Linked DNA regions of Arabidopsis thaliana. The protein of the gene in region 3 interacts with the protein of the main gene of each other region in a pairwise test. Each region holds a gene or a part of one and is shown on either strand. Other genes may lie near its edges.

Evidence for each region.
Region 1: the proteins of ARF16 (region 3) and IAA31 interact in binary tests that used the Arabidopsis thaliana proteins (3 or more experiments, as listed by UniProt).
Region 2: the proteins of ARF16 (region 3) and MYB54 interact in binary tests that used the Arabidopsis thaliana proteins (3 or more experiments, as listed by UniProt).
Region 4: the proteins of ARF16 (region 3) and IAA5 interact in binary tests that used the Arabidopsis thaliana proteins (3 or more experiments, as listed by UniProt).

Annotation. Positions count from the first base shown.
Region 1 is NC_003074.8:6,017,944-6,025,092, reverse strand, and holds IAA31 (indole-3-acetic acid inducible 31), read left to right. Parts: upstream 1-3,945; 5' UTR 3,946-4,052; coding exon 4,053-4,177; intron 4,178-4,274; coding exon 4,275-4,486; intron 4,487-4,584; coding exon 4,585-4,669; intron 4,670-4,757; coding exon 4,758-4,812; 3' UTR 4,813-5,120; downstream 5,121-7,149. Other genes in the region: RBL14 (RHOMBOID-like protein 14), read right to left, coding at 1-147; HYH (HY5-homolog), read right to left, coding at 508-706, 799-985, 1,059-1,122; BSH (transcription regulatory protein SNF5, putative (BSH)), read left to right, coding at 5,502-5,551, 5,647-5,741, 5,851-5,945, 6,286-6,357, 6,470-6,517, 6,600-6,683, 6,787-6,825, 6,951-7,033 and 1 more. UniProt on the Arabidopsis thaliana protein: Aux/IAA proteins are short-lived transcriptional factors that function as repressors of early auxin response genes at low auxin concentrations.
Region 2 is NC_003070.9:27,596,494-27,603,824, forward strand, and holds MYB54 (myb domain protein 54), read left to right. Parts: upstream 1-5,099; 5' UTR 5,100-5,358; coding exon 5,359-5,479; intron 5,480-5,590; coding exon 5,591-6,022; coding exon of another isoform or gene 6,023-6,081; exon of another isoform or gene 6,082-6,366; coding exon 6,367-6,545; 3' UTR 6,546-6,824; downstream 6,825-7,331. Other genes in the region: AT1G73400 (Pentatricopeptide repeat (PPR) superfamily protein), read left to right, coding at 1,613-3,319. UniProt on the Arabidopsis thaliana protein: Transcription factor that regulates secondary cell wall (SCW) biosynthesis, especially in interfascicular and xylary fibers.
Region 3 is NC_003075.7:14,701,435-14,710,657, reverse strand, and holds ARF16 (auxin response factor 16), read left to right. Parts: upstream 1-4,303; 5' UTR 4,304-4,480; intron 4,481-5,073; 5' UTR 5,074-5,093; coding exon 5,094-6,179; intron 6,180-6,254; coding exon 6,255-7,111; intron 7,112-7,219; coding exon 7,220-7,289; 3' UTR 7,290-7,593; downstream 7,594-9,223. Other genes in the region: AT4G30090 (golgin family A protein), read left to right, coding at 59-166, 246-296, 375-437, 511-573, 648-812, 884-1,039, 1,123-1,191, 1,283-1,344 and 1 more. UniProt on the Arabidopsis thaliana protein: Auxin response factors (ARFs) are transcriptional factors that bind specifically to the DNA sequence 5'-TGTCTC-3' found in the auxin-responsive promoter elements (AuxREs). Could act as transcriptional activator or repressor.
Region 4 is NC_003070.9:5,363,066-5,369,628, reverse strand, and holds IAA5 (indole-3-acetic acid inducible 5), read left to right. Parts: upstream 1-3,131; 5' UTR 3,132-3,168; coding exon 3,169-3,514; intron 3,515-3,631; coding exon 3,632-3,716; intron 3,717-3,804; coding exon 3,805-3,865; 3' UTR 3,866-4,117; downstream 4,118-6,563. Other genes in the region: AT1G15600 (uncharacterized protein), read right to left, coding at 1-45, 149-277, 351-706; AT1G15590 (E3 ubiquitin-protein ligase), read right to left, coding at 1,397-1,424, 1,666-1,791, 1,870-2,255; CYCA2;3 (CYCLIN A2;3), read right to left, coding at 4,411-4,464, 4,560-4,694, 4,789-4,938, 5,034-5,144, 5,217-5,292, 5,377-5,510, 5,599-5,691, 5,789-5,925 and 2 more. UniProt on the Arabidopsis thaliana protein: Aux/IAA proteins are short-lived transcriptional factors that function as repressors of early auxin response genes at low auxin concentrations.

The DNA.
Region 1 (7,149 bases), on a different chromosome or scaffold from region 3:
CCTGAGATAAACGAGAGTGTTCGCGGCCAGGAGACTCGCCGTCACCGGTGGTTTCCACGGTAGTCTATAGTACTCCGCGACGGCGCTTAGAGCCAGCAACGGCAACATTCCGCCTCCACTTCTTCTCCCTTCACCAAAATTCTCCATTTCTTCGTAATTATTCTTTTCTTCTGATCTCTCTGAATCACTTACAAGTAATTAAAATCTCATCTCTTTCACAATATTTATATAGCAGCAGCTTGGTCTCTACGAAAACAAATTCTCCAGAGACTTCTTCGTTTCACTCGCATAAGAACATGTGGGACCCACCACGGCATTTTAGAACTCTAGTTTTTATACCTAATCTCTTCTTGCCTTTTTTCGTTTTTTTTTACTTTATTTTGCAAATCTGAATGACAATGATGCTCAAAGTGAATGTTATTCGAACAAAAAGTGTATACAAACCAAAACCAAAAAAGAAAGAAAGATAATCATACAACACTGAACAATGGATTAAAGGGTAAATATTTAGTGATTGTCATCAGTTTTAGGCCTTGTGTTAATAAGCATTTTACGAAGCATTGTGTTCTCGTTCGTCAAAGTAGAAATCTTCTCTTCGAGCTGGTCATTGTTGTTCTGTAACTCATTAGCTCTTGATTCCAAATCACTCACATACACTTTCTTCCTCTCTCTTGCTTGTTGCGCTGATACTCTGTTCCTCAATAATCTGTAATTTTTCACCACAGTTTCTTTTTTACCATTTCAATTCCACAAATCGAATGCTAAGAAAAAAAAGTTTTTTTACTCATCATTGATTACCTCTTGAGGCTTCTATATTCTTTATCAACAGGGTTTCTTCCACGGCGGCGTTTAGCTGTAGAGACTCCATTTTGAGTCTGGTCAAGCTCCGGATTGTTGACTCCATCGTCGGCGCTGCTGCTTAGAACACATGTTGATCCAGCTGCTTCCATGTCAGGAACCATCAACAACTCCTCATCACTTTCCTCTGAGAATTATACAAACCAATTTCTCTAAACCAAATTAAGTTAAATATTAGATAAGTTTCTTTCAACACCTACCAGTTTTGTGCTTCTTGTGGGAAGAAGACGAACTCGAGTTCCCATTGGGTCGTTGGAGAGACATCAATATCTTTTTGTCTTTTGAGATTTTGCTAAAGACGAGAATAGAGAGGTAAGAGGTTGAAGAGAATATCAAACCAAAGGAAATTGCATCTTTTCTTTCTTCTTTGGGGCCACTCAAAGTCTGCAACTCGTTTCAAACAAAAAAAAAGAGAAAAGTATTGGTTGGCTTATAAAAGAACACGTAGGTTTATGTAAGACCACAAATGCAACTGTTTCAATCCAATGGTGTGTATCTGTGTTTTCTTTTCCACTATATCCCGTTGAACTTATTAATTGATTTATTGTTCTGTTTTGCTTTTAAAGTCTTTGTTCATGATTTCTACGGAAAACAACCTTTAGTGAGTATTCACAGAGCGTGTGGGTTTAGGACAATAATTACTGTCTAGAACCATACAAACGTACTTGCAGACAAAGTCAGAGGCACAACTATGTGTGTGTGTATCTATTTGCATGGCGTAATAGGCATGCATAAACTCATCATGTGGTCATATATCTCGTTTTCTATTTTTTGGTACACAAATAACTCTTTTGTATAAAGACAGCTAACTAATGTTTTGAATTTTTAAATGTTATCTCTTAAAATTAAATTCTACCAATTGTAAATTCAGTCAATCATTCCGAAGCATTTTTTCATGCTTTGTGATTCCGCCATATATTTTCCCATGTTCTTTTTTACGTTTTTCATCATAATTTTAAAGTTTTACGATTTTTTGTTGTTATCAATGAAAATGGACCAAGTAAACTTCTACCGTAATGGTTGCATATTAGATAGTGGACTTATGCGCGCGCGCGGAAACAAAACTTGGCCGGTTGAATCGTCGTCTGCCTGGCATCTAACAGTTTTTTCGAACATTGTCATAATCAATATATTGAGGGATGTTAATCATGAAGTCGTATGGAATGGACGCGGGAAATCACTCATAAACAATGTGAACATTTTATAAGGTTATAAAGAAGAACAAGTTTCATCCTTCTTTTGTATATTTCGACTCATACATATCTTTCTATTCAGGAATAAGTATAAAACATAATATAACATGTGGCATATCGACCGACCAATACATCTTTCCCAACCCATGATCAACCTTCTGATTGTGTTTTAATTTATTCGTCATGAAATGGATCAGAATACTCATGATGAGTTTGTGTATCACTCAAGGGACCCCTTGTCTTAAAATCAACTAAAATCATTTGATGTAACTTTTATACGAAGTACTATCCAAATAATTAATTTTCATAAGCAGCGGACATTCATTTTGTTTGTATGACTATATGATTTTATTATTTGAAGCTGTATGCAAACGTGGAGATATGATTGCATCTTTGTCTATGCATGAACATGCCACGTTAATTTAGGAGTACATATCATGATATTGATCTCTCTTGCTATAACTTTTTGGCACAATACTATTGCATGCCTCTCTATATTACTTCAACAAAACGTTTAAATTTACCATGGTTAGAACTTAGAAGTAATCGAGCTGCAAACCATGGTGATCATATTTTTTCTCGTTCGCATGCTCGGTCTTAATATATTGAGAGTTATGGCCAAAATTTGAATACCATTTTAAGAAACTTCAGAAAATCAGGAGTTTGATTATTATCTTTGGTTCTTACTTACTTCAACGAAAACTAATGACAAAACTCTTTTAAGTCGAGGTATGCGAGTAATAACTCCTTGGACATATTTTTTTGATAAAAGTTTAATTGATTATAGACTTATAGTAGTCTTAATTATTATTATAAGTATAAAGAGGAGTAAACATTCATCATTAGACTACTAGACATTATAAAGTTATATATATCGAAATTCTAACAAGAAGGATCCCTAGAGACCAGACATGCATGTCCAAAGACAGATCGTATAATAGCTAATAGGAGTCTTATCGATCCAACATCCAAGGTAGGCTTTATTACAAAGTAACTATTAGAGTGCACTTCCCATGATGATTCTAGAATCTAATATTATTATCAATACAGCCAATGAGCATTATGTGATGTAACAATTTATGTCTACTTTATATTTTGAAGTTATCATAAATCAACGAATTCTATTTTGATTTTCAAAAAAGAGTAAAAGATTTGGGCTTCTAAGAGAGACAATCCACAAAGCTAAAGAGACATTAACAGGAAACGTATAGTTAAAGAAAAGAACACTGTCTGCTCCACAAAAACAATATACACAAAACTCTTCAAGTCTACCTTATTTTTATTGGTTCTGCAATTTTCAATGGTCTGTTACATTAATGTGTCATAAGAGACAATTGAGTTTTCTTATCAACAGAAGGGTCTAAAAAATTGATCCCCCAAGTTCATAGTCTATAGACTCAGTTTTTTTCTTTCAAATATTGATGTGTAAGAAAGTGAAAGTGATGTGATGCTCTGTTTCTGTTTACGGCTAGACAATAAAGCCTTTTTTGGCCCTTATCTCTCCTAATTAAAGAATCTGAGCAGTTGAGAAATTAAAATCAAAGCCTTAACAGATTAACTCCAACATCATTTAGACACACTTTCCTTGGATACCACCTTTTTACGGAAACTTCGAATCTTACATGTAAACAAATCTCAAAACCATAATTTCACATTTTTACTACTAACTAACTCCAAAGATCTAAACCCATGAATTAAGTATCTAATCGGGTAATTATTACAGTGGTTTTCAGAAATCAATGTGTGTTCATATTTAGAAGGTTGAAAGTTCATAGTTAAATGTGGGGAACCTTATGTTCCTATTATTTATTTATATTAAATTTCAAAGTCGATTAAATCAATTTTTAAATTCAAAATCTATGCAATAGAATCACCTACTAGTCCTTTTTTGTTTAACTAGACAGAGAGAAATAGAAATAGAGAGAGAGAGACATGAAGAGCACTCTCAATAGAGAAGAGAAGGAAGCATGAAGCTAGCTCTGCAGCTTCAAGGTCTCATTAATGGAGGTCTCTAACTCTTGTTCTTCATTTTCTTCATCCTCTGTCGACAGTACTAAACCTTCTCCTTCTGAATCTTCTGTTAATCTCTCCCTTAGTCTCACATTTCCTTCTACTTCTCCACAAAGGTCTTATTCACATCACTTCTCTGTTTTTTCCTATGTTCTGTTTTTGCTCTGTTTTCTTTTGTTCACATTTGTGTTTTAAATCTTTATTTTTTTGTAGAGAAGCAAGACAAGATTGGCCACCGATAAAGTCTAGATTAAGAGATACACTAAAGGGTCGTCGTCTTCTTCGTCGTGGTGATGACACTTCTCTCTTTGTTAAGGTTTATATGGAAGGTGTTCCCATTGGAAGAAAACTCGACCTTTGCGTATTCTCAGGCTACGAGAGTCTATTAGAAAATCTCTCTCACATGTTCGATACTTCAATCATCTGTAAGTAATTAATGAACAACACATAATTCCGTAAAAACAACATTCAACTAAATTCAAACAGTTTGAAGTATATCCATGCATTGTCTTGGCTATAACAGGCGGTAATCGAGATCGAAAACATCATGTTTTGACATATGAAGACAAGGATGGAGATTGGATGATGGTCGGAGATATTCCATGGGAGTATGAATCTTATATCTTGATCTTACATTGGTATAATTTCCTCGGTTATAGCTATTCTCTAATTTTTGAAATCGATGTTTTTGTTTAGTATGTTTCTTGAAACCGTGAGAAGACTAAAGATCACGAGACCGGAGAGGTATTAAAACTTGGATCGGTCAAGGCTGTGATTGCGCAGTTACGAGACGTGTAAGATTTAGGCATTGATGAAGAGACTTGAGGCGGGACGGAGCTATTGCTGCATATTGCAACAAAGGCCTTGAAGAAGTTGGAGAATTGATTGATGCATATATTTATTTATATGACACCTTTGAGTGTGTTTTTTCTTATAAATAAATCACAATATCCAAGACTTCTCTTTTTTGTTCTGAATAATAATAATGCAAAGATTTTTTATATGTTTGTAATCGTGTGTTTCTTCGAATGTGTTACATGACTAGGAAAAAAGTACACGAACGTTGTTATGGGGAGCACGAACATGGAATAGAGGAACGTTGTCAGGAAGAGAATGATTCTCTTTGATCTGCCGGCAGCCGTCTCGTTGGTTGTCACCAATGTACAATTTTAATGTTGAGCCCATTTAAAGCCCACTAAATGACTAACAAGCTCGTTTAAAGCCCAAATGCTGCAATTGATCGTAGGATCGGATCCAGATAATTCGTCCCAAAATGGGAAAATTCCAAATTAGAGGTGAAATGTGTAAAGACATTAGAATATAAGGGTGATTCTGAAATAAATTAAGCTAGCGCCGGAAAAAGATCGAGAAATTGAAATTTCCCACACTCTCTCGCTGACTCTCTTCGAAACTCAATTTGTGAAATTTGGGGGTTTAAGGATGAAGGGTTTAGTGTCTACTGGTTGGAAAGGTCCCGTCAAGTTCAGGATGTAAGTTTCGTCGCTTCCTCTACTTTGTTTGTTTTGAAATCGAAATCGAGTTCATGTGTTTTTGTTTTTTCTGATGAATCGATTTGTAATCGGAGCTATAGGCCCACTGCTGAAAACTTGGTACCTATTCGATTGGACATTCAATTCGAAGGTCAGCGTTACAAAGATGCTTTCACTTGGAACCCTTCAGGTTTCTCTCTTAAAAACCCTACCTTTTTTTTTGTTTTCCATCTTCTCGCATCTTATTACAGTAGCAGTGTATGTGATTCACTGATTCTTGTTTTTGGTTTTGGATACAGACCCGGATAATGAAGTCGTTATCTTTGCCAAAAGAACTGTTAAAGACTTGAAACTTCCCTATGCATTTGTCACTCAGATTGCCCAATCTATTCAGGTTGTTTCTAAACTAGTTCACACTGACCTATCTTTAGTTTTTCTTCTGCTCTGATTTTGTTGTTAGTTCTTTTGCTTGTCATAGAGATGAGCTTAAATTTAAGGTCACCTATTAGTCTTAAACCAATCACACTTTCGACTTATTGTTTTTAACTCTTTAGGTTTTTTTACTCGAGAAGAGGCCTGTTTATAGCATTGTACTTTGGGATGTATATCTGTAAGACTGTGCTTTTGTGATGAATGTACTCTTGCTTCAGTTATGTTCTGTTCTGTTTTTGTAAGTATTGGAATAATTTCTTCAGAAATCTCTACTTACATTGGTCAACTTCCTGCTTTATCAGTCTCAGCTCTCAGACTTTCGGGCTTATGAAGGACAAGACATGTACACTGGTGAAAAAATCATACCAATTAAGGTTTTATGACGCTAGATATCCTTATCCCTCTCTCTTTTGTCCATGAGTGATTTGTTGGAAAAAAAGAAGTTCTAGAAGCTGATAAGCTATCTTTCTTTCTTTTTTGTGCCAGCTTGATCTCCGAGTTAACCATACTCTCATCAAGGATCAGTTCTTATGGGTGAGAATACTTGGTGATTTTGAACAATTTCAACTATTGTTTGTACTCTTTTTCTCAGTGCAGCTTGATTGCCGTTTTGCAGGACCTAAACAATTTTGAGAGTGATCCTGAGGAATTTGCAAGAACCTTGTGCAAGGATTTAGGTGTTGAAGACCCTGAAGTTGGAGTAAGATAACCACTCAATTTTTTACATTTCATTATCTGAACTAATGAACCTAAGTTTCAAACGTTTGATACAAGTGATTTTTGGTTTCTCCTTCTCTCTGAAGCCTGCTGTTGCCTTTGCAATAAGGGAACAACTTTACGAGGTTAAAACTTTGATTGTAACTTTAAGCTACTCTCTCTGTATTTCTGTATACTCTATATATGTTTTCTATTTTGAACAAGAATGCCAAACTTACTGAGTTACCATGTCGTTGTTTTTGCTTGCCAGATTGCAATTCAAAGTGTGGCTTCAGCTAGGGAGAGTAGATTAAGCAAGAAAGGCCGCAGAGGATCTGATCATGGTTCAGCGAGGTATGTTCACGTTGCCCCTATTTGTCTATCCAAGTTACCTTGTGGTAATATTAGAGCCTAGCTCAAAAAATTCTAAAATAACTTTCCATCTTATATGTGCAGCAAGGCAAGTGGCC
Region 2 (7,331 bases), on a different chromosome or scaffold from region 3:
TCTAATTTTGCTTAGAAAAGGTACTAATCAAAATAAAACTGTATCTAGCATGAATTAGTATGATGCAACTCTTTCGTTAGTTTTTTTTTTTTTTGTGAAGTCTCTTTCGTTAGTTTTGGTTTGCTTTTATTCTCTCCTTTTAATAGTTAGGAAGAAATCCATTATATCTGCCATGTTAATTGCAGTCGTAAGTAAATTTCAAACTTAATCATGGTCATTGTTTTTATTTGGTTGTCCAATATCGATCCTATGTATATCCAACTATATATTAAGATATCATGTGATAAAAAAATAAAAATAAAAATTGTAGGAACGGTACTTTAATTTGGGAACAAGAACAAAGAAATTGTGATATTTCTTTACATTTTGAATTCTCTAAGTTAAGTTTTAAGTTTTCTAATTTATTGGTTTGGATTCTTTTTCTATGTTCTGATTTTATTATTATGATTCTCCTTAATTCGCTCGGAGATTGAAGAGTGAATGTGCATACAATCTACTTAAAAACCAATCCCCCAATTGTATCCCTCCTTTTAATTTGGTTTCTGAAAAAAATTGTGAAAAAATAATGAGAAATGCATTAAAACCAAAACCATAGAAAATGCAATGATTCACAACGAGAGTCTCAAAAGTCATAACTACGCTAACGGCCACTTGTCACTTGACCAATAATTTGAAACGAAAAAAGAAAAACCATAACTTGTTGCTATATGCCAAAAGTAGTATTGCTTCTTCTCTGCTACTTGCAAATTAATTACATCGTTATATACATACCATTGATTAGACTATTAAATTTTTACAATCGGCAAAATCTAGAGTATCTAATAATGTTTTGTGTATAGAATCTGTAAATATTTGTTTAGTATAATGTAACAGGATAATTCTCATTCGATATAAAAAACTACATATATATTAGTTGTTTTAGGCCATCTCCATCAGTATTTCTGAATGAGAAACTTAATAATAAAATAAGAACAAAAAAGTGAAAAAGTAGGATAGAGAGGGAGAAGAGTACCTCACTTGAGAAACTAAGAGAATCGTTTTTCTGACAGAATCGCCACATGTCAATCAAATATTAGTTTAACTATTACAATTTAAATAAAATATATTATATAATTAAAATAATATTTTTTTTTTTTTTTGAGAAACTAGGAAGAGAATCTTCCCGATGCAGATGCTCTTATGTAAAGAGATGTATATGTATATTATTTATTTGTGGCTCTATGATAAACTAGGAGTAGAAATTTTGATTTATGGCTTGGTTTGGTTTTAAATTGATATTTTTTTGGTTTTCTCTTTTTTTTTTTTTTATAGAATTTGATATTTGATATCTAGAGTCTAGACCTTGATGTAAAAGAAATTGGAAATTTGATTCCCTTTTGTTTAAGACTTGAAGTAGTGTGTAATTCAAACCAAACAAAATAGTTTTCGTTGTTAAATGAAGAAAGCCCATTAAAAATGAAAAGGCCTCAACAAAAGAAAAGCCCATTTAAAATCTTCCAATTTCTCTCTCTCTCTCTCTCTCTTCTCTATGTCGTCCCCTTCCTCTAGTTCCTCTCAGTCTCCTTCGCTTTAAACCTCTCAACGAATTTATTTCCGAGTGATTGATTACTGAATGATGCGAAGACTCGTCTCTTACTTTGTTCGTTCTAGATTCTCCTTGCATCTATCCACAACACCACCTCAAAGGTCCGCACTTTTCTCTCATATATTGAGTTCTCATCTAGATTCTATTCAAATCAACAAAAAAATCTCATCTTTCTCTGTGCATCGATTCTGTTCCACGACTTTGTTAAACCCAGAACTAGAAATTACCCGTATAGAGAAAGTTTCCGAAGATCAATCATTGGTTTATTGCAATGAAAATGATATTAGAACAAAGGGTTCTAATCATGCGGTTGGAATCTTACACGAAGCTATAATGGCGAATTTGAATGCGTATGATGATATGGAAAAAGCCCTTGATGAATCTAGTGTAGATTTAACAACTCCTGTGGTGTGTAAGATCTTACAAAGGCTTCAATACGAAGAAAAGACGGCTTTTCGGTTCTTCACTTGGGCTGGACATCAAGAACATTACTCACATGAGCCTATTGCTTATAATGAGATGATTGATATATTGTCAAGTACTAAGTATAAGAATAAGCAGTTTAGGATTGTGATTGATATGCTTGATTACATGAAGAGAAACAACAAAACCGTTGTTCTTGTTGATGTTCTATTGGAGATTCTCAGGAAGTATTGTGAGAGGTACTTGACTCATGTTCAGAAATTTGCCAAGAGGAAACGGATTAGAGTGAAGACGCAGCCTGAGATTAATGCTTTCAATATGCTTCTTGATGCTCTGTGTAAGTGTGGTTTGGTTAAGGAGGGTGAAGCTTTGCTTAGAAGGATGAGGCATAGAGTTAAACCTGATGCGAATACGTTTAATGTCTTGTTCTTTGGGTGGTGTAGGGTGAGAGACCCTAAAAAGGCAATGAAGCTGCTTGAAGAGATGATTGAAGCTGGACATAAGCCGGAAAATTTCACTTATTGTGCTGCTATTGATACTTTCTGTCAAGCTGGAATGGTGGATGAGGCAGCTGATTTGTTTGACTTTATGATAACCAAAGGCTCTGCTGTTTCTGCTCCAACCGCAAAGACTTTTGCTTTAATGATTGTGGCGTTGGCAAAGAATGATAAGGCAGAAGAATGCTTTGAGCTAATTGGGCGTATGATAAGCACGGGTTGCCTTCCTGATGTCTCGACATATAAGGATGTAATTGAAGGTATGTGTATGGCTGAAAAGGTAGATGAAGCGTACAAGTTCCTGGATGAGATGAGTAATAAAGGTTACCCGCCTGATATAGTCACATACAATTGCTTTCTTAGGGTATTGTGTGAGAATAGAAAGACCGATGAAGCACTTAAACTTTATGGAAGAATGGTAGAGTCGCGTTGTGCTCCTAGCGTCCAAACATACAACATGCTGATATCTATGTTTTTCGAAATGGATGATCCTGATGGAGCATTCAATACATGGACTGAAATGGATAAAAGAGACTGTGTTCAGGACGTTGAAACATACTGTGCTATGATCAATGGGCTTTTCGACTGTCACAGAGCTAAAGAGGCGTGTTTTCTACTGGAAGAGGTTGTGAACAAAGGACTCAAACTGCCATATCGAGTGTTTGACTCTTTCTTGATGCGTCTATCGGAAGTTGGTAACCTCAAGGCAATTCATAAGGTTTCTGAACATATGAAAAAGTTTTACAACCATAGTATGGCTAGGCGTTTTGCACTCAGTGAGAAGAGAAAGAGTACAAAACTCAGAGGGAAGTAATGTGAACTGAAAACTGTTGGACCATATCATCATACTAAAACAAAGAACCATTTTCAGTGGTGCGATGATTCTGTTGCCTAGAGAGGAGCTCTTCGTGACTATGATCCCTGGTGAAATTTCATCCATCACAGTCTCTCTAATTCTGGACCAATAAGCATGGTTTCGAAAGCAAAGATACCTATCCAGGTCTATTGTCTAATGGTTATGTTGGTTTCTTTGAAAAGGCTCTCACAGCTCACAATATGTTTAACGTGTTCGTTTAAAGTCATTGTATTGACCATTGCATACATAGAGATAGAGCCGAACTTTGTATGATCCTTAGCAATGTGAGAGGCTTGTTTTCCTTATGGTTCATGACTATTATGGTTTATCTTCTGCTCTTGCTCTCTGATTCTCGAGTTTGATGTGAGATTCTTGAAACATTATGATGCTAGAACAGTGTCGGTTCATCGTTCAGTTCTGGTAACAGGTTCAAGTCTCAGGAACTCTTGCTGAAGAAGTCTAAAGACATGACACAGTTGGTCTGTCAGCCTTTGGTGATGAAGTACCCATACAGTTGTAAAATAAAAAGCCCACTGGTATATAATATTTGACCGGTTTAGTGTAATCAGGATCCGGTTTAGTTGAAATAGGTCATTTTGCGACGAAAATAGGTTAAGTTTAGTTATGATAGGTTCGAAAGTCGAAACTGAAGAAGGCTTCTCTCCTAACTACCGATAGAACAAATGAAGTTGATTATTGGCTTTCTTTCCCAACTAACTCTCTGTTTTATTTTATTTTCCTACTAAACTTTACCAGCAATTATTTTGGTTTTTGCTTACAGATTTTTTTTTTTTGAAGAAATGTTCTAATTAGTCCCACGGAACATTCAATGTAACTGATTCTGTTTTTAGTCCTGAATGTCCGAAACCTATAAAGTTCCGTTTTGGACAAGAGAGACGTGCTTGGAGACCAAATATTTGACCACCTTTTTTATTTGTTTACGACTAAAATGATTGACCACATGAGAATAAAATTTTTGCTAATATATTTCATCACTTGATTCAATTGTATACACCTTCTATTTTATTTACAGTTTATAAGAAAATACCCATTGTAAAATTGCAAAGAAAAAGTTAGTTGTATTGTCTCCACTTTGGACGATATATTCCTAATTAAGGCTTAGAAAAAACGTTGATTAGGTCTGAAAATATTTATCTTTAATTATTATGGACGATATTTGATACATGAAATAAATTTTTGTCAGTGTAGGATATCGATATTTATTATATGTGAATACGTAGCTTGCCAAGATTACAGAAACGTAGATGAGTATTGGTGGCTTGAAGTAGCGGGTGTAGGTTAGAACTTAGAAACAACAAACCTTAAATTAATACTATACGAAGAGACGTTGAGAGGCTAACGAAATCCTGCCCACACCAAGCAATCTCTAGTCTATGCTCTTATTTTCTACGATATTATATATTCTATAATTATTATAACTAAATAAAATCCTAGTTGTAAAATAAAGGAAAGAAAAAGGTAGATTACGTAGAAGGGGGTGTTTTGTTGGTTAGGGAAGACGTTGGCATCAGTCGCCGGTAGAGAGGTCCGTCCAAACCCTCCCGACTCTCTAACGGATTTTGTTTTATTTTATTTTAATTTTCATCATATAAAATGTATATATATATATATATATATATATTTTCTTTTGGTAAAGACATAAAATGTATATTAGACGAAAAAAAAGAAGAAGACATAAAATGTATATTATATATATACTCGCAATAATATAGACTATGTATATATATACGTGCAGGTGCTCTTCAGCTTTCTTCTTGTTCCCACATACCCATCTTCCCCAACCTTTTCCCAAGAAAAAAAAAACTTAGGGTTTTAATTTCTTATATATGTACATAAAATACATGAACACAACAAATTTTTTGCGTGCGTTATTGATATAGAATCTGTGTGTTTTTCTTTTTCTTTGTTCTTGTATTGGTTTGGATCGGTATACTTAGTTAATTACGTAATTAAATAGATCGGCGTGAAGAAGAAAAATGATCATGTGCAGCCGAGGCCATTGGAGACCAGCTGAAGACGAGAAGCTCAAGGATCTTGTCGAACAATACGGTCCTCACAATTGGAACGCCATTGCTCTCAAGCTTCCTGGTCGCTCTGGTAATTGATATCTTCTAGGGTTTGTCCATATATACAAAACTAGCTAGGGTTAATTTTGATACTTTGATATATATATACATATGAATTAATTGTATTGGTGTATATATGCAGGTAAGAGTTGTAGATTGAGATGGTTTAATCAATTGGATCCAAGGATCAACCGAAACCCTTTCACGGAAGAAGAAGAAGAAAGACTTTTAGCGGCTCATCGGATCCATGGGAACAGATGGTCCATCATCGCAAGGCTTTTCCCTGGAAGAACTGATAACGCCGTCAAGAACCATTGGCACGTCATCATGGCTCGTCGCACACGCCAAACCTCTAAGCCTCGTCTTCTTCCCTCGACGACTTCGTCTTCTTCTTTAATGGCGAGTGAACAAATCATGATGAGTTCTGGTGGTTATAATCATAATTATAGTTCCGATGATCGGAAGAAAATATTTCCAGCAGACTTTATAAATTTCCCTTACAAATTCTCTCATATCAATCATCTTCACTTCCTAAAGGAGTTTTTCACCGGAAAGATCGCTTTAAATCACAAAGGTAAACTCAAAATGATGGAGAAGGATCCATTTTCTATAGATGTGTTTGCATGTATATGAGTCTTGCACGGATTATTGATGAAAAAGGTATATATGTTCCAAAATTTTGAAATGAAGTTTAGCCGAATTTTTTTACTTTTCAAAGAGTTTAGCCGACTTTTTCATTTGCATAATCATTTTTCTAATGAACTTCAAAATTATGTGACAAAATTAGTTGCATGTTTTTTCTTGTACTCATCATCATATATTGTTTCCGTCATTACATGAAGTCATCTCTATATATTTAACATAGTTGCAATCCACATAGCTTATAATTTCGTCCTTCTTTTATCGTTTGGATCGCAGCAAATCAGAGTAAAAAGCCTATGGAGTTCTACAATTTTCTACAAGTAAACACAGATTCAAACAAGAGCGAGATTATAGATCAAGATTCAGGTCAAAGCAAACGCAGTGACTCGGACACCAAACATGAAAGTCATGTTCCATTCTTCGACTTTTTATCCGTTGGAAACTCTGCCTCCTAGGATTAGTTTTTTTGCAGTAACTCCTAAATTTCTAGATTAACTATTTAGTCCGTATACGTACGAGATTATCTAGGTCGTTAGCATGTATGCTTGATGTGTATAATCACTAACTAGTGAGCTATTACCTGCGAAAATTGTAAGAAAAATACATAATGTTGATGTATCACACATTCTCAATGTCTGTAAAATTTCCATCGAGTTGTTAACTATCAAAGTTATCCGTTTGAATGTATTTGTTTAATTTGTCTTGAATGAGATGAATAACATGTTTAAATGTTTAATTCTGTTACCAACAATTTAATTATATATATATAACGATTAATTGCTAGTTTGTTTCTTATTAAATTTGTATCATATTTATTCAACGTTCAAACAAATCACCGTTCAATTGTTTATGCATAACCCGATCATGAACTCGACCTCGAGAGGCCACAATATTATCAAAATTTGAAAGTATATATGTACAGTTGAAATCTTATATCGTTGAGATTATAACATGAAAAAAATCCAATGTTTGATGAAGAAGCAAAAGGTGTTGGAAAACTCTTTTTACTTCTTACTTTCCTTAATCGTTTTCTTACAACAACACAACCATTATGTAGTTCTTGTACTTAATCTAATTAGAAATTTGTTAATAACCAAGACCCACCCTTAATTGGGCCTTGTTCACCTCTGGGCCCAATGGCCTTTTTCTCTCTTTTCCTTCACTCTTCTTCTTCTTCTTCTTCTTCTTCTTCTTCTTCTTCTTCTTCTTCTTCCTCGTGCATACCTTGCTGTAGTTCCCTC
Region 3 (9,223 bases):
GGTTCCTTTTGCCTCATTACGTTTATTCAGTCTTTCTATGACACTTGTGCATTGACAGGTATTTGGATTAAAACGGGAAGTGGAAACGCAACGCAAGAGAAGGCTCGAAGTGGAAGCTGAATTAGCAGATAAGAAAGTTGCACAACTTAGCTCAAAGCTTGAAAATGTAAGAGATATGGTACTTCTAGGATTTGATGTACATATTGTAGAGTTCACTGTAACTTTTTTTTTTTTCCTGTGTTCAGATCGATGGGTGGTTCTTGTCTAAACTTGGTCTTAACCCGACTGAAAGTCAGGTAATTCTAAAAGGTTTAAGGCGTGTAACATCGCATAATCTAGTGATAACTCAAGTCCCTTTCTTTTCATGTTTGCAGGCATATCTGATGACCCTATGGCATCAACATCTTAGCCCAACTCTTCATACCACTCTTCAAATGGTTTGTCTTCAATTCACAATTTACCCTGAAAGTCTTCAATTTCTTCTTTAAAGACAAATCCTTTCTTCAACAGGTGTCGATGAAAATTGAGCAAGTCCAGAAATGGTCAGAGCCTCACATTGAAACACTGAACTCAGTGAGTTTTGTTCTAACTGCACACTTGTTTACTTTTCCATTTTCTTGATACTGATATCTGATCTTTATTTTCAGCAATGGATTCCAAGCATCAAAGATGCATGTGTCACAATAACCATATATCTCGAACCAAAAGTTCAATATATAACCGATAAGTCCATCGAGTTGTTATATACATCTAAGCAGGCTTTGACACCACATCTCATCCAAGGATTTGACGCTTCATACTACTATCTTGAGGTTAATATATTTCCATCTGCTTCTCTTCAACATTGCATAAAACATTGTGATCATTGTTTTGTTTATATTAGGTGATCAGAACACATACACATCCGTACACGACCCGGATTATGACCTTAACGAAGCCACACTTGGAGAGAGTACAAGTTGCCTTAGAGCCATATACTGAAAACGTAAGACATGGCTTTCAGAAGTTGGTTAACTCAACCAAAATCTACCATCAACAGGTATATTCATCATATTGTGTCCTTGTTTTTACGAAGTCAACTTAGAGTAACACTTTCATAAGCTTCACTCTGTTGAAACCAAGGCTCAAGAAATGCTGAAGAACAATGAGATCACCAAACCGGTTGCTACCATGGACTTAGCTTGGGTTGGGGTATGTGATTTCAACAACATCTGGTCATTCTATCCATCTATAGAGTCTACAAATCCGAACTCACTCACTTCTTCTATTAAATTTTCAACAGGCCACAGCTTTAATTGGATTCCCTCTTATATTCATCATCAAATTGCTTTCTGCAGTCTCCAAGTAAGCTTTGAACATCATTCAACAATAGTCTAAACTTTACTTATAAGTTTCAATCTGTTGCATCAGAAAGTACTTACAGAATTGCATCTAACAGTCCTAAGGGGAAGAAGAGACACAACCATAAAAAAGAACCAACCACCGGGTACCGCAGAGCCAAACGCCGACATCCTCACCAATGATACAATAGGACTATAACTTGAAGAGATCAAAAAGGTTTTTGTGACTTCACTTAATCGATATATATATCATTCGTTTTGGTTCCTATTAAAAGATGGTTACTTAAATGGAGGAAATATCTTTTGCAGGTGGTTTGTATATACCTTTCTGGTTTCTGAGACTTATAATAGTTAAATATCTATTGGCTGAAGAAGTTGAAGCAGAGGTGTTCTACAAAACTATAGGTCTCTCTTGACTCTCTGTAGTGACAAAATCTTAGAACAATCTTTTTCAGTTTTCATAGTTTATGGTTTTTTATAAAGTAGAGAAGAGAAGAAAAGAAAAGAGTTGTAAATCTTCTCACATTGATACAGATGTGATTGGGAAATTTTAGTTTGCCATGTTAATGTAACCAGGCCCAGCCCAATTGTGTTGGGTACAAGTTGAAACTAAAAAGCCTTAATATTTCAGATTTTTTTTTTCGGACAAACATACAACTTCAGATTAAAATATCTTTATCTATATTTTAAAAGAGGAAAAAAAAACTATTTTGTGAAGACAAAATGGGAGAAAGAAAAGGACAAGAGAGAGTCAATGTCTATAACGACTGTTTGTGTCTGATCCCAATTTCATGTCTTTATATGTCTTCTCCTTTATAGGTCGCTTTTCATTTACGCTCTTTCTTGTTTTTAGCTTTCATTTCTCTTTTTAGCTTTTATTTTATCATTCTGTTTTTTTTCTTTTGTCCAAACTATTTTTCAAATTTTTTATCAAATCCATTATATGTGAATAAAATAAAAACCATAAACCCAAATAATTGAATGGAACAAACAAACTAAAATGTATAAATTGAAAAATAAAACAAGCAAGAAATATTGGCGAGCATTTCCATTTCCGTCATGTCTCGTTGCTGTCTATAAATAATTTTTTCTTTTTAAGAAATTTGTTTCGTCCAGTTCTCGCAAAATCCCAAATTGTGGTTTGCCAACCCCTAAAAATATAACATGATTATTAGTAGATTGAGTTCACATGCCCAAGTTTTTCCAAAAGTTAGCCCAAATCTAAATTACATTATTAACGACACTTGTGGTCATGAGGAACATCGATAAACATAGAAGGTGTAACCACTAAGGAGTATTACATGCAAATGTGGTAACCAAAATCTGAAGGAATAATAAGAGGACAATTAGATCAGATCCGGTGGTTTAAGATTCAAATACCGAATTTGCCCTTGTGACATGTAAATTATTACTGGATTAACATAAATGGAGACACACGTAATAACTATTGACAAGGAAAGTATGTGGTATTGACCAAACAACACACATACACAGACACACTTCAAACTTAACCATGGTTACTCACACGTGATATGTCCTCCGGTTAAATATGTTTTCATTATCATTGTTAATTATTATTTTCTTATTATCACATTCCCATATATTAAAAGATTTTAGTGTTATCTAAAATAATTTCAGATTATAATTTCAGTTTCATAATTCCAATCTTGAAAATTTTGGTTCTTATACTTGTGTATATAATTGGATATTGGATTTTTGTTTACGTATGGCCTAGATCAAACTCTTGGTATTATTAATTGGAAAGCTAACTCTTACGACAAAAAAATACAATGACACATGCGGAAATTTATTGAGCCTTGCTACGATCATGTAGGATTGACATATGTATGTCGTATCTCTATCTTATTTGGATATATAGGGTATAGTCATATCAGAGAAATTTTCTAAAATGTTTTCTTAGGATCCTTAAATTATATTTTAAAAGGATTATCTAAGTCTCCTGATTTCCTATGAATTGGTTCGCAACCTACGAAAAAACTATGGGATCAAAAGCAAAAAATTCTAAGTTTTTTTTTCAACTTTGGTAAATTTTAACATAAATAGTTAGATGTTTATCTCCCTTCATTCCTTTTTGAAACCAATAATTTTAATCTTCCTTTCACTTACCATTTAGAAAAACACACGAAACTATGTTTTTTGTTTTTAAAAATATGTGTACCTCATATATATGCTGCATGTACAGCCTTTATACGTCTATATGCAGTTGTGTATTTCATATAATTATACTATACAAATAGAACATAAAATAGAACTATAGTTATTTACAACACAATATATATATATATATACAGCTGTATAATGTATTTTAGAATACTAGTCTGGGCCAATCAAACGGGAATATAAAAACCCGAGGTAGAATTTTATTTTTACATCGTTTAAACACAAAGAAAGATGGTTAGCAACAGCAAATTGCTTACATGGTTATCAACAAAATATCGTGTTTCGTAAACAATAAGTTAAAAATAATTCAATGAACTATTGGGATTATCAAATCAAACTGTAAAAATTAGTTTATTCAAAGAACAATTAATGGCTGAGTTAATTAGCTTGCCTTGAATTGTTAAATAATTAGATGCTTCTAATCAGATTTCAAGGAGATATGTCGGAAGCACCGACGACACGTGCGGATCCGTCACGTGCGCGATTCAACTCTTTAACTCGTATGTCGATATTTCTTTTTTTAATTCTCTTCTTTTTTCACACTCCATATTGTCGATTTTTATGCCCGGAATCAAGGGTTTGACTTACCAAATTGTTACCTTCTTTTAGGCTTAAAATTTATTACACTTAAAATAATCCGGATTAATATTTTCTAAAAAATTCACTAACTAGAGAAGAAATAATAATAAAAAAGACATGTGAAAGAGTTAATGAAAGTTGAGAAAAAAGAGATAATATTATTTTTATTTTATTTTTAGTTTTGTTTTTCTGCAGAAGAGCCAAAGCTCTTTCCTTCATATATACGAACCCCTTTTTCCATTTTCTTTGTGCAAAAAGTGTAACCTTCCTTATCCGATTCTGAAGCAGAAATTAGCTGCAGAATCTTCAGATTCTCTCTATACCTAGATTGGTTTTTCACAGAATCTTCGCTATTTTGTTCAGATCTGCCACTGTTTCAGGTTTGAACTAATTTTACATAAATTTTCTCTCCTAATCTTTCTCTGTTTCATCTTTGGTTTTCTCAATCGATTCGATATGAATTTGATTTGGTTTAGCTTGATTCGATTTGATCATCATGTCTAACTAGTTCTATCTAACTTTGTTAGTTTACTGTTCTTTTGTGTGGTTCTTGTTCTTACTTCAGACCGATCTATGTTTTTTTTGCTTTGTCTGCTTCACACAACACAATCGTGAGCTTGCTCTTATGAAAATCTAATCTAACTAAATTTTCTTAATTTGTGGTCTTTTTAATTTCATAATGGATTAATAAACTAAATATCCTCAAAACGTTCTTGAAGTTTTATAATTTGTATTTTTTGTTTTCTCCGGAGATTTGGTATTTGAAATCTTCTTACTATCTGAAATGACCCTTTTTGTCGGTTTTTCTTGAATCTTTTTATTTATTTTTATTTTCCGGGAAAATTTCGTTTGTTAGGTAAAGTTGACTGATACAAAGGACTTGAGTTGCTAAATAAAAAGCATTTGTATTGTGCTTTTGTTTGGTTACTCTGTTCTCAAACAAAAGCTGATACATTTGTATTTGTTGTTGCAGCAAAAACGGTCACAAAAAATATGATAAATGTGATGAATCCAATGAAAGGTGGAACAGAGAAAGGTTTAGATCCTCAGCTATGGCATGCATGTGCTGGTGGTATGGTTCGTATGCCTCCTATGAACTCTAAAGTCTTTTACTTTCCTCAAGGTCACGCCGAAAACGCTTACGATTGTGTCGATTTCGGTAATCTCCCTATTCCTCCCATGGTTTTGTGTCGTGTTTTAGCCATTAAGTATATGGCTGATGCTGAATCTGACGAGGTTTTCGCTAAACTGAGATTGATTCCTTTGAAAGATGATGAGTATGTTGATCACGAGTATGGTGATGGTGAAGATAGTAACGGTTTCGAGAGTAATAGTGAGAAAACGCCTTCGTTTGCTAAGACTTTGACTCAGTCTGATGCTAATAACGGTGGGGGTTTCTCTGTTCCTCGTTATTGCGCTGAGACGATTTTCCCGAGGTTGGATTATAACGCCGAGCCGCCGGTTCAGACCATTCTTGCTAAGGATGTTCATGGTGATGTTTGGAAGTTCAGACATATTTATAGAGGGACGCCTCGGCGTCACCTTCTTACAACCGGATGGAGTAATTTTGTAAACCAGAAGAAGCTTGTGGCGGGAGATTCGATTGTCTTCATGAGAGCGGAGAATGGAGATCTTTGTGTAGGTATTAGGAGGGCTAAGAGAGGAGGGATAGGTAATGGACCCGAATATTCAGCGGGTTGGAATCCGATCGGTGGAAGTTGCGGCTACTCTTCTCTGTTAAGGGAAGATGAAAGCAATAGTTTGAGGAGAAGTAATTGTTCCCTTGCGGATAGGAAGGGGAAAGTGACGGCTGAATCTGTTATAGAAGCAGCCACTCTTGCTATTAGCGGAAGACCGTTTGAGGTTGTGTACTATCCGAGAGCTAGCACTTCAGAGTTTTGTGTCAAGGCATTAGATGCTCGAGCTGCCATGCGGATTCCGTGGTGCTCAGGTATGAGGTTTAAGATGGCTTTTGAGACAGAGGATTCGTCTCGGATAAGTTGGTTTATGGGGACTGTTTCAGCTGTTAATGTCTCTGATCCTATCCGTTGGCCTAACTCTCCTTGGCGGCTTCTACAGGTAAACAAACACTCAAAATTTTCTTCTAGCTCAAGTTAGAATATAGACTCATAGGTTGCATTTTTGTGTTTTCAGGTGGCGTGGGATGAGCCAGATTTACTCCAAAACGTGAAGCGAGTTAACCCGTGGTTGGTGGAATTGGTATCAAACGTACATCCGATCCCGCTTACTTCGTTTTCGCCACCGAGGAAAAAGATGCGGCTACCTCAGCATCCAGATTACAACAATCTGATCAATTCGATTCCAGTACCTTCATTCCCAAGCAATCCCCTTATTAGATCAAGCCCGTTAAGCTCTGTTCTGGACAATGTTCCCGTGGGTTTACAGGGAGCCAGGCATAATGCTCATCAGTACTACGGGTTATCATCTTCGGATCTTCACCATTACTACTTGAATAGACCACCTCCTCCTCCTCCTCCATCCTCTCTCCAACTTTCTCCTTCTCTCGGTCTCCGAAACATCGATACCAAAAACGAAAAAGGATTTTGCTTTTTGACAATGGGAACAACACCATGCAATGATACCAAATCTAAAAAGTCCCATATTGTATTGTTCGGCAAGCTTATACTACCCGAGGAACAGCTATCAGAAAAAGGCTCAACGGATACCGCAAACATAGAGAAAACGCAGATTTCATCAGGCGGGTCGAACCAAAACGGCGTTGCGGGAAGGGAGTTTTCTTCGTCAGATGAAGGATCACCTTGCTCTAAGAAAGTTCATGATGCATCAGGTTTGGAAACAGGGCATTGTAAAGTGTTTATGGAGTCAGACGATGTAGGTCGAACCTTAGACCTATCGGTTCTTGGTTCATACGAAGAATTGAGTCGGAAACTCTCTGACATGTTTGGAATCAAAAAGTCTGAGATGTTAAGCTCTGTTCTCTATAGGGATGCATCAGGAGCCATCAAATACGCAGGAAACGAACCTTTCAGGTACATTTTTTTATTATAGACAAGATTGTCATATTTTTCGTACTATTTTGATGATGAAGTAAAAGAAAACATCTAATAGTTGTTGGTGTTTTGACTCATCTTTGGCAGTGAGTTCTTGAAGACAGCTCGAAGATTGACAATTCTGACGGAACAAGGAAGTGAGAGCGTTGTAGTATAACTTGGCAGAGTGTTTTGTTGGAGCTTGGAAGTCAAAACTCAACGATTGAATCTTTTAAGTTTTTTTTTTCTTTTATTTGTTTATTTTAGTTCCACTTTTTTGGATTATGTAAGTTTCAAAATGCAATTCACAATCTATTTGCAAATAAAATAGGTTCTTCTTCCCTTGAAAAGCTTCATTGATCAAATAGGGTATAAGAACCAAAGTCTAGACGGCAAATTATGATATGTTTGTCAAAGTCACTTCAATTTGTCTACAAATTAGTGATGACACGCATAAACCAATAGGCCTCAAACATGGTTGCATTGCTTACTTTGATTCATTATGTAATATATAAAGTGATTTTTCTTTAAATATTTCATTATTTGTTTCTTGGGATCAATAAGTTGTTGAGAGGTATGAAAAGTAATAAAAATCTGGAAGACAATTAGTTAGGGTGATGCGAGGGTCATGTCTCTAGGCACATGCACAACAAACAACGGTCGGATCCTATGTTTGACAAAACACAAAGTCCTCAACACCTAAGTTAAGTTGGATCTCCCACTTTTCATTTATAACTCAAAACTATATATATATTTAAAAGATTTTCAGATTCCAATGTATACACAACGAAAATTCCATATCATCTTCAACCTACTAATTATAAATGTACAACGAAAGTACTCTATATTCGCTTCTCGGTTCTCAAAGTCAATGAAGTTCTAAACTCACTTTTTCTCTGCTTATTTAATGTAAAAAGACCAAAAGTTCTAGCCCTTTTTACTTTCTAGTCTTTAATCTTATATAAAACCATACTCACTTTTTCTGTTCCAACCTAATGTCCTATAATGTTCCAATCTCAAGTCTTAATCATGATAGATTTGTAAAAATGTTTTTGTAAAATGACTTGTCCACTCTCAGACCTAATCTGACGACGCTTCTAGACATCAATACAAAAATGAATATGACTTGAGAGTGATGGACATCATGAAATGTGTAAATAGACGAAAGGGAGATATTTTAAATCCAGTTACATGTCATGATTAGAGTTAATATAAATTGAACCAAAACTCAATTATTGTAGCTTAAGAGAGAGTATGAACATTGTATACAAAAATAGATACACACATAAATTAATTGCATATCTGAATAAATCAAAAGTTTAGGAGTTTACATTAATCAAAAGTGATTGTGACAACTCTACGTATGAAGTTGACTCTTGAACCACACATGTTCAGAATTCACAATCCCAACAAGATCATAAGAGAAAACAAACAGCAAAATGAGAGATACATGGGGTAGTCTTGATTTGGATTAATCATTTAATTAATCAAAGTAGTCAAGTTAATCAACTGGCGATCATAATATATATGTTAATTATTAGGACAAAATACTTAGGGTTTTGCAACAAAACTATTGTTAACCATGGTTGAGTACTTGAGTTAAGACGATATCGACAGAAACAAGTGTGACAAAAGTCAAAGAGGAGAAGCGACAGAGTAGCGAACGTTGTGGCACTTTGAATACTATTTTTTATGTAAAATAAACAAATAATTTTTCTTAAATAATAGATTTAAAAAGTAAAAAAAAGAGGACAAGAGAATTAAAAAGAGGCACGAGGTAGACAAAGATTCGTGAGGCAAGGAAATGCCAACTCGAAGGCCTTTCTTTACGTGAAGAAACATCAATGCATGTGTCCTCTTCATATTCACAATTACACTTAAATCTGTCATTGTCTTTCCTTTCACGTTCTTTTTCCACGTGTCCATACTTTCATTTTTTTTTTACACAATCGAGCTCTCTCTTTTTTTTTCTATACCCAAAATATAATACCAATCTCGAGATTTACAACCACCGCGTGAATAAATTTCATAGTGCTAAATTTACGCAAGTACAATAGAAAAACATTTTGTGTTCTTTGACTAAAACATGACAGCAGATTCGATCGGTGAATG
Region 4 (6,563 bases), on a different chromosome or scaffold from region 3:
AGAACATATCTAATGCAACTGAAAGTAAGGAGAGCCAAACATAACCTGCAAAAGAGACAATGAAGAAGGCCAAAGGCATGAGTATAAGAAAGGTCAATATATACGTTTTAAGGTATACATATGATTGGAAATTTCGTTTGATACGCACCAGAAGTATTGAGTTGTAGTATCATCTAGAGCTGATGAGTCGAATGCTTTGGAAGAAAGAATCCATAAAAACACCACATACCAACCCACGAAGAAACCCGTCATAAAAAAGTCCATATCCTTGTTGATTCTGCAAACCAATAAAACCATTATATCTCAATCTAATGCATAAAAAGATAAAAGAAAACACAATTTATATATACCTTGTCTCTCTTAAGTATTCATCTGTAGATTCGGAGCCAACGCTTCGGTTATAAAGCCAAAAACGCCAACATAGGATAGGGAGAGTGGCAATACAGCCACATGTATAACCGATGATCCATATAGACAACATTGTTTGTGGATGTTCTTCATCTCTTGGCTCAATCAGAACGATTATGACCGCAGCAATCAAGACCAAAGTCACAACAAACTCGATTGAATTACAAATGCTTTCATTTGTGTATGGATCACCCAATTCAACACCCTCGTGTGGTTGCTGACCATCAATTGATGAAGAACTACCATCGCTTGTAATGTCAATGATGTGTTCACACTCGCTCAACAAAGGGCCCTCCATTGATCACTTTTGGTTTTTCCTATTTCTTGCCGATCAAATGAAAAGTTCATTCAAATTTGCGTTGACGAGCACAAAGCATATACCTTTCCTTCTTTGTTGATAAAATTATTAGTATTTTTTTAGACCAGATCAATACTAAGTACGTATTAGTCGTGTTACAAATAAAACATTATTTTGAAAAATGAAGATCAAAGCTGAGATTTCAATGTTTATATATATTGCAGATGTTTTGGACAAGTTAAATTGTTAATAGGTCAAATGATCTGTATGATATTTATTTTCTGTTTTAAGACAGACAACACAAGAAGACAGGATCGTATCTTTCAGTTTCCCACCACTTTTGTTTATTGAATGTGTACAATTACTCTTGAGCGAAAAAAAAATAAAAAAAAAATCAACCTCATCTCATCACCACCTAACTTGTGATTGACAGAGAGGGCATGTGGATTTGATTTTCAGCCATTTGTCTATACATTGCGAATGAAATACGTGTGAGCATTCAAGTTTCCTTAGTCCTACTCCTTTTTCCTCTCCATATTTCCCCAAGCATATGCAACAACTCTGCACACACCATCAAACCATGAAAATTAAACAACAACAACAACAAAAAAATGCTATTTAAAACAGAGTAATTAATGTGATATGAAATTATTACTCACATCATCATGGCTCGGTTTCTTGAAAACAAATCTACCTCCTATACCTTCCCTTACAGAATCTACATCATTTGATTTCAACTTATCCACATCATAGATATGAGAAAAAAATGTTCCAAACTCTAGTGAACATTAAGCGAAAAAAATACCTGCGCATAATAGTAATGCATATGCAAATCTAATGCAACTGAAAGCAATGAAGACTACACATAACCTGCCAAAACATAATCAAGAAGACAAAAGTTAGTACTGATTAGTTAGGGTTTAACTAAATCTCTACTGTGACATGATTGTGAGTCAAACCTGTAGAGCTTAGGAGTATCAGAAGAAGATGAGTGTCCATAACAAATCCATAGAATCCCCATAACTAACCACACAACAAAGAAACATTCATTCCCCATCTTCAAAGCATCCATTACCCTATCCGTTCTGCCACCAACAACGGTTCGGTTTGATTTAGCTAATTAAACTCTTAATGTTAAGTGAAACAAGTGTTGTTTATTATACCTCGTTTTTGAGTAAACACCAATTCGGTTGTATTTGCGGACACACGAGAGGAGAATAAGGAGCGTAATGGTAATACAGCCACAAGTGTAACCGATGACCCATGTTAACAAAAGTGCTTGTTGATGTTCATCTTTTGCCAGAGTTAAAACTATTAATGATGCAACAATCTGAACCAAAGTGACTACTAATTCCATTATATTCCAAAGACTACCACAGTCTCTCGTAGATGAACTTGCACCTTCATCTGACGATTCGTCATCCGTAGACAGAGACGAACTTAATGAAGGATAGCTTCTCTCGTCCAAAGACGATCTTGATGAAGAATCTTCATCGTTTGTAATGTCGATTATGTGATCATCATTATCACTGTGGGATTCGCTGTCCATTATCACAAAGTCTTGTTGTGTTATTCATTGGCTAAAGCCAGCCGACAATATATTATACGCAATTCTACATGATCAATCGAAAACTAGAAATTGTGTACAAGGAAATTTGACTAATCTAGCTTATCTATCAACATGTGAACATTCCAAAAATGTACTATTGGAGATACAAAGATATGGAAATATCTATGAAAAATGGAAATATATCCCGTAATTGATATTTTGATCAGTTCTGTTTCTATTTCGTAACAAATAATGACAAAAGTATGGTGTACATGTGTAGATTACGTATGATGTAATGAAAGTATCGGGCACATGTGTGAATAGCAGAAACAAGATATATGACGAAAACGTAGATGCATTTTTTTCTTTGAAATTATGTATGCACTGTGTAGTGTGTTACGTGTAGAAAAAAATGAAATAATATAATAACTTGTCTTAGCCTTGAGTAACACGTGTTCGGTTGTCGAGAAACATAAATATACGTAGATTTTAAAGTGCACTAATATATATTCGACCATGAATATGTTGTTTTATTATTATGTCGTTGATTAAAAGAATGGGATACAGACATAACAAATCACACATAACATGGGATGTCTAATAGAAAGTAACGTGTTTCTGATCCAACGGCTGAGAAAGAAACCCTACTTTGTCGGTAACAAAATCGTGGCCGTCCAGTGTGTCGAACCAACGGATCCATATTATCGACATTTAAACACGAAGCGGCAAAGGAATGAAAAAACATGACATAAAAATTTCGACAAGATCTTCGAATGGGGCCGACAAGATAAATCAATGCTAAACAAGCTTGTCTCAAACGCCATCGTTTATGTTCCCATGAGAACATATAAAGTGGCAACAGAATAAAGTTCAAACACATTAACACCAATACTTTCAATCAAAAACATCAAAGATGGCGAATGAGAGTAATAATCTTGGACTCGAAATCACCGAACTACGGCTAGGTCTTCCCGGAGATATCGTCGTCTCCGGTGAGTCCATCTCCGGGAAGAAGAGGGCTTCTCCGGAAGTAGAGATTGATTTGAAATGTGAACCGGCGAAAAAGAGTCAAGTTGTGGGTTGGCCACCGGTTTGTTCGTACCGGAGAAAGAACAGTCTCGAACGGACCAAAAGTTCGTACGTGAAAGTGAGTGTAGATGGAGCTGCATTTTTAAGGAAGATTGATTTGGAAATGTACAAATGTTACCAAGATCTTGCTTCCGCTCTGCAAATTCTGTTCGGATGCTATATCAATTTTGGTTAGTTTATGTTTCTATATATAGTATATATTTTTGGTTTTAGTCTTTACTTATCAAGGCAACTAATGATCCAAAACATCGATATTAACTTTATAATCTTTATATATGAAAATGAAGATGATACGTTGAAGGAAAGTGAATGTGTACCAATATATGAAGACAAAGATGGAGATTGGATGCTTGCTGGAGATGTTCCTTGGGAGTAAGTTTCTAGCGACCTCTATAACATTCAAATTTACTTTCTTTTATTTAATTGATATCTAATAAATTATGAAACTATTTGTGTGCAGAATGTTCCTTGGATCGTGCAAGAGGTTAAGGATTATGAAGAGATCATGTAACAGAGGATGAATGATATTTATAGTCACATGTGAATGTGAGTGAGCCTTACAGATATCTAAATATACATTTTTGCAGTTACTCAATATTTCTCTTCGGAAGTCTAAGATTTCCGAAATTTCTGTAGAAGTTGTTTTCTTTGACATAGTTCATTCATCTTTATCTTTTGGTCACTGGACTAAAGTCTAGAGGCGGTTCTTATAAGCTACTGCATGACAGTTCAATATCAACAATCAATGAAATTTGAAATATAAATACTTAAACCTACTTCATATCAGAAAACTGATATGAAAATTCCGAATCTGTTTACATTGCCTCAAGATGGGAGAAAAATGTACATTCTCGTTACAATAAAAAAAACTCTAGGTACCGATTAGATGTTCCCGGGTTTGGAAGAACCAAACCACGGATCAAACTAGGCTAAACCGAATTCTAATCAGGTATTAGATGAGTGGGACTGTGGAAATTCTGTTTTATGAACAAAGAGTAACAGATGAATGAAAACGAAATTGGACCATCAATGTGACAAAACTATTATCGGTTAGGAGTTGAAACCTTCAGAATAGCGTGTCAAGTAGCTTTGGAGACGTGAGAACCGCCACAGATTTGTACTGCAAATCCATAATAAGTCTTATGAGAATCAAGGAAACCAAACTAAAGTTATACCAAACAGGTTTTAGTATGTGGTTTTAACTGATAAGCTTACTTTCTCTTGCCTATACTTCATGCGTATAGCGCTCAAGGGGCAACCTTTGGTGTTAAGCTGCAGATCTTGTAAGGCATGAACAGATGCTTTCAGATCCGATGCTTTGTACGTTGTGTAATGCTCAAGTGTTGGATTCTGCCGGGGGAAAAATCAAAAAGATGTTAAAGATCAAAGATTTTGTGGAGCTAAACTGTGTCTGGATATACAAAAGAGAAGCAACATCACAGACCCATGGGTGGTTTGATTGGTCCATTGTCCACTTGGCGAGAAAAACCGCTGAAGCAGCAACAACGGAAGGAAGAAACTTTAAGAAATGGTAGTCTATTAATGTCAACTCTGTTAGATAGCTGGCTAGAAACTCGACTTCAAGGCTTGGGCTCTGCCGAATCAGCAATCAAATATGGACACATTCTCAGTCTTTCTACTAAACTTTGTAATTAGAAGAGATAGGGGAGCAAATTGCGAAATGCATACCAGGCGAGAGGCTTGAGCTGCTCTGAGAAATCTCCTAAGGAACGTTTTTGGAGTGGGAGTGTATATTTGAAAGCTAAAATGCTTAAGTACTTGGTTCTCCATTTCCAGGACCTGCACATCACGACTCCATTAGCACATTGCACACTTTCTTTTTTGAGGATTCAGACAGCAATCTCGGTATACCTGATCTCTTGTGTAGGTGTTATCCGTAATGAAGCAAAACTCCTCAATGCGTGGAGCAGAGATTTCCTCATACTTCCTGAAAAGTTTATAAACAAATGCAGTATAAGTTTAGTTTAGCTTTTGAGAAGAGATTTACTAGTGAGATTGGAGAGGAACATACGAGGCAATTAGCATGCAAGTGATGCCGAGCAGTTGAAGTTGCTGTCTTTGCACGTAGTTTCCATGGAGGAACCAGTCTATGAGATACACTGTGAGGTAGAGAGTGTCAGATGCAAGTGTGTATTCTTCAGAGACCTGTGATTGAAATCAGACTTTTGTGAGAACCCGGAAAAGGTCATAGTAGCTTCAAAAGTTAGCATCAAAAGTAGAACTAAACACTAACCTCCACAAGCCAATCAACCAGAATTCCCCGCATGGACTGGGTGACATCCTTCTGTATTCTCTCCATAAAGTCCGGAAGTGGTCTGCGTTTAAGCTGCCAGAAGAGAAGTGACACAGAAGCACAAGCAATAAAACTTTCAGTCCTTTGGCTCACCAAGTTTCTTTAGAGACTATCAAAGCCTAGGAATTACCTCTGAAACACGCAAATTGTAGTGGATTTCAGGGGCATAGAGGCAGCACAGTAAAGGATCCTTGTCATCTGAATCGATGTCTACAAATTTTGGGATATCCGGTACAGTTGAACTACCAATAACAGCACTTTTCTCAGCTGTAACCATTTGCAAAAAAGATTTATAAGTCATTAAAGACCACTCCTTTATACAATAGGAACTAATCATATGAAAACTTGTGTTAAATGGATCACCTGTAGAAGCTGATCTCCCAAGAGGTCTTGGAGGCAATCTAGAATTCCATATCTCAATACAGTTATCAGCTGTGTTATCTGTGCCTTTAGAAACAGAAAGGTTTCCTGCTGTATTTGATGCAACTTCAACTTTTGCATCGGTCCTGGACTGAAGATCTGTGACTTCTGAAGTAACAGAAGTTGCCAACTGGGATGTACTCGCCAATCCATGACCGCGTCCTTTCTTTATCTGCTTGCTGTTTTTGGCCTGAAATGGCAAAACCCATGTTTCAGTGATGCATGTTTTACTTCACAAGATCTTTACAAAAATTCACAGGAAACCAAACACTATAAAGAAACATAATATAGTTTTAACAACCTCAAGTATAGCTGTATTGGAGTTAACATTTGTGATCTCCCCTAGAACCGCTCGCTTCTTCCTCTTGTTGGGTCCAGTGGCTCTTGTATCCTCCAAGGCTGGTCTTTTTGTGTTTACTCTCTGTTGATTCTGTGTAGTAGAAGTCACTTCTGAAGCGCGCAAAGCAGAGGCAAGGGAACGAGTG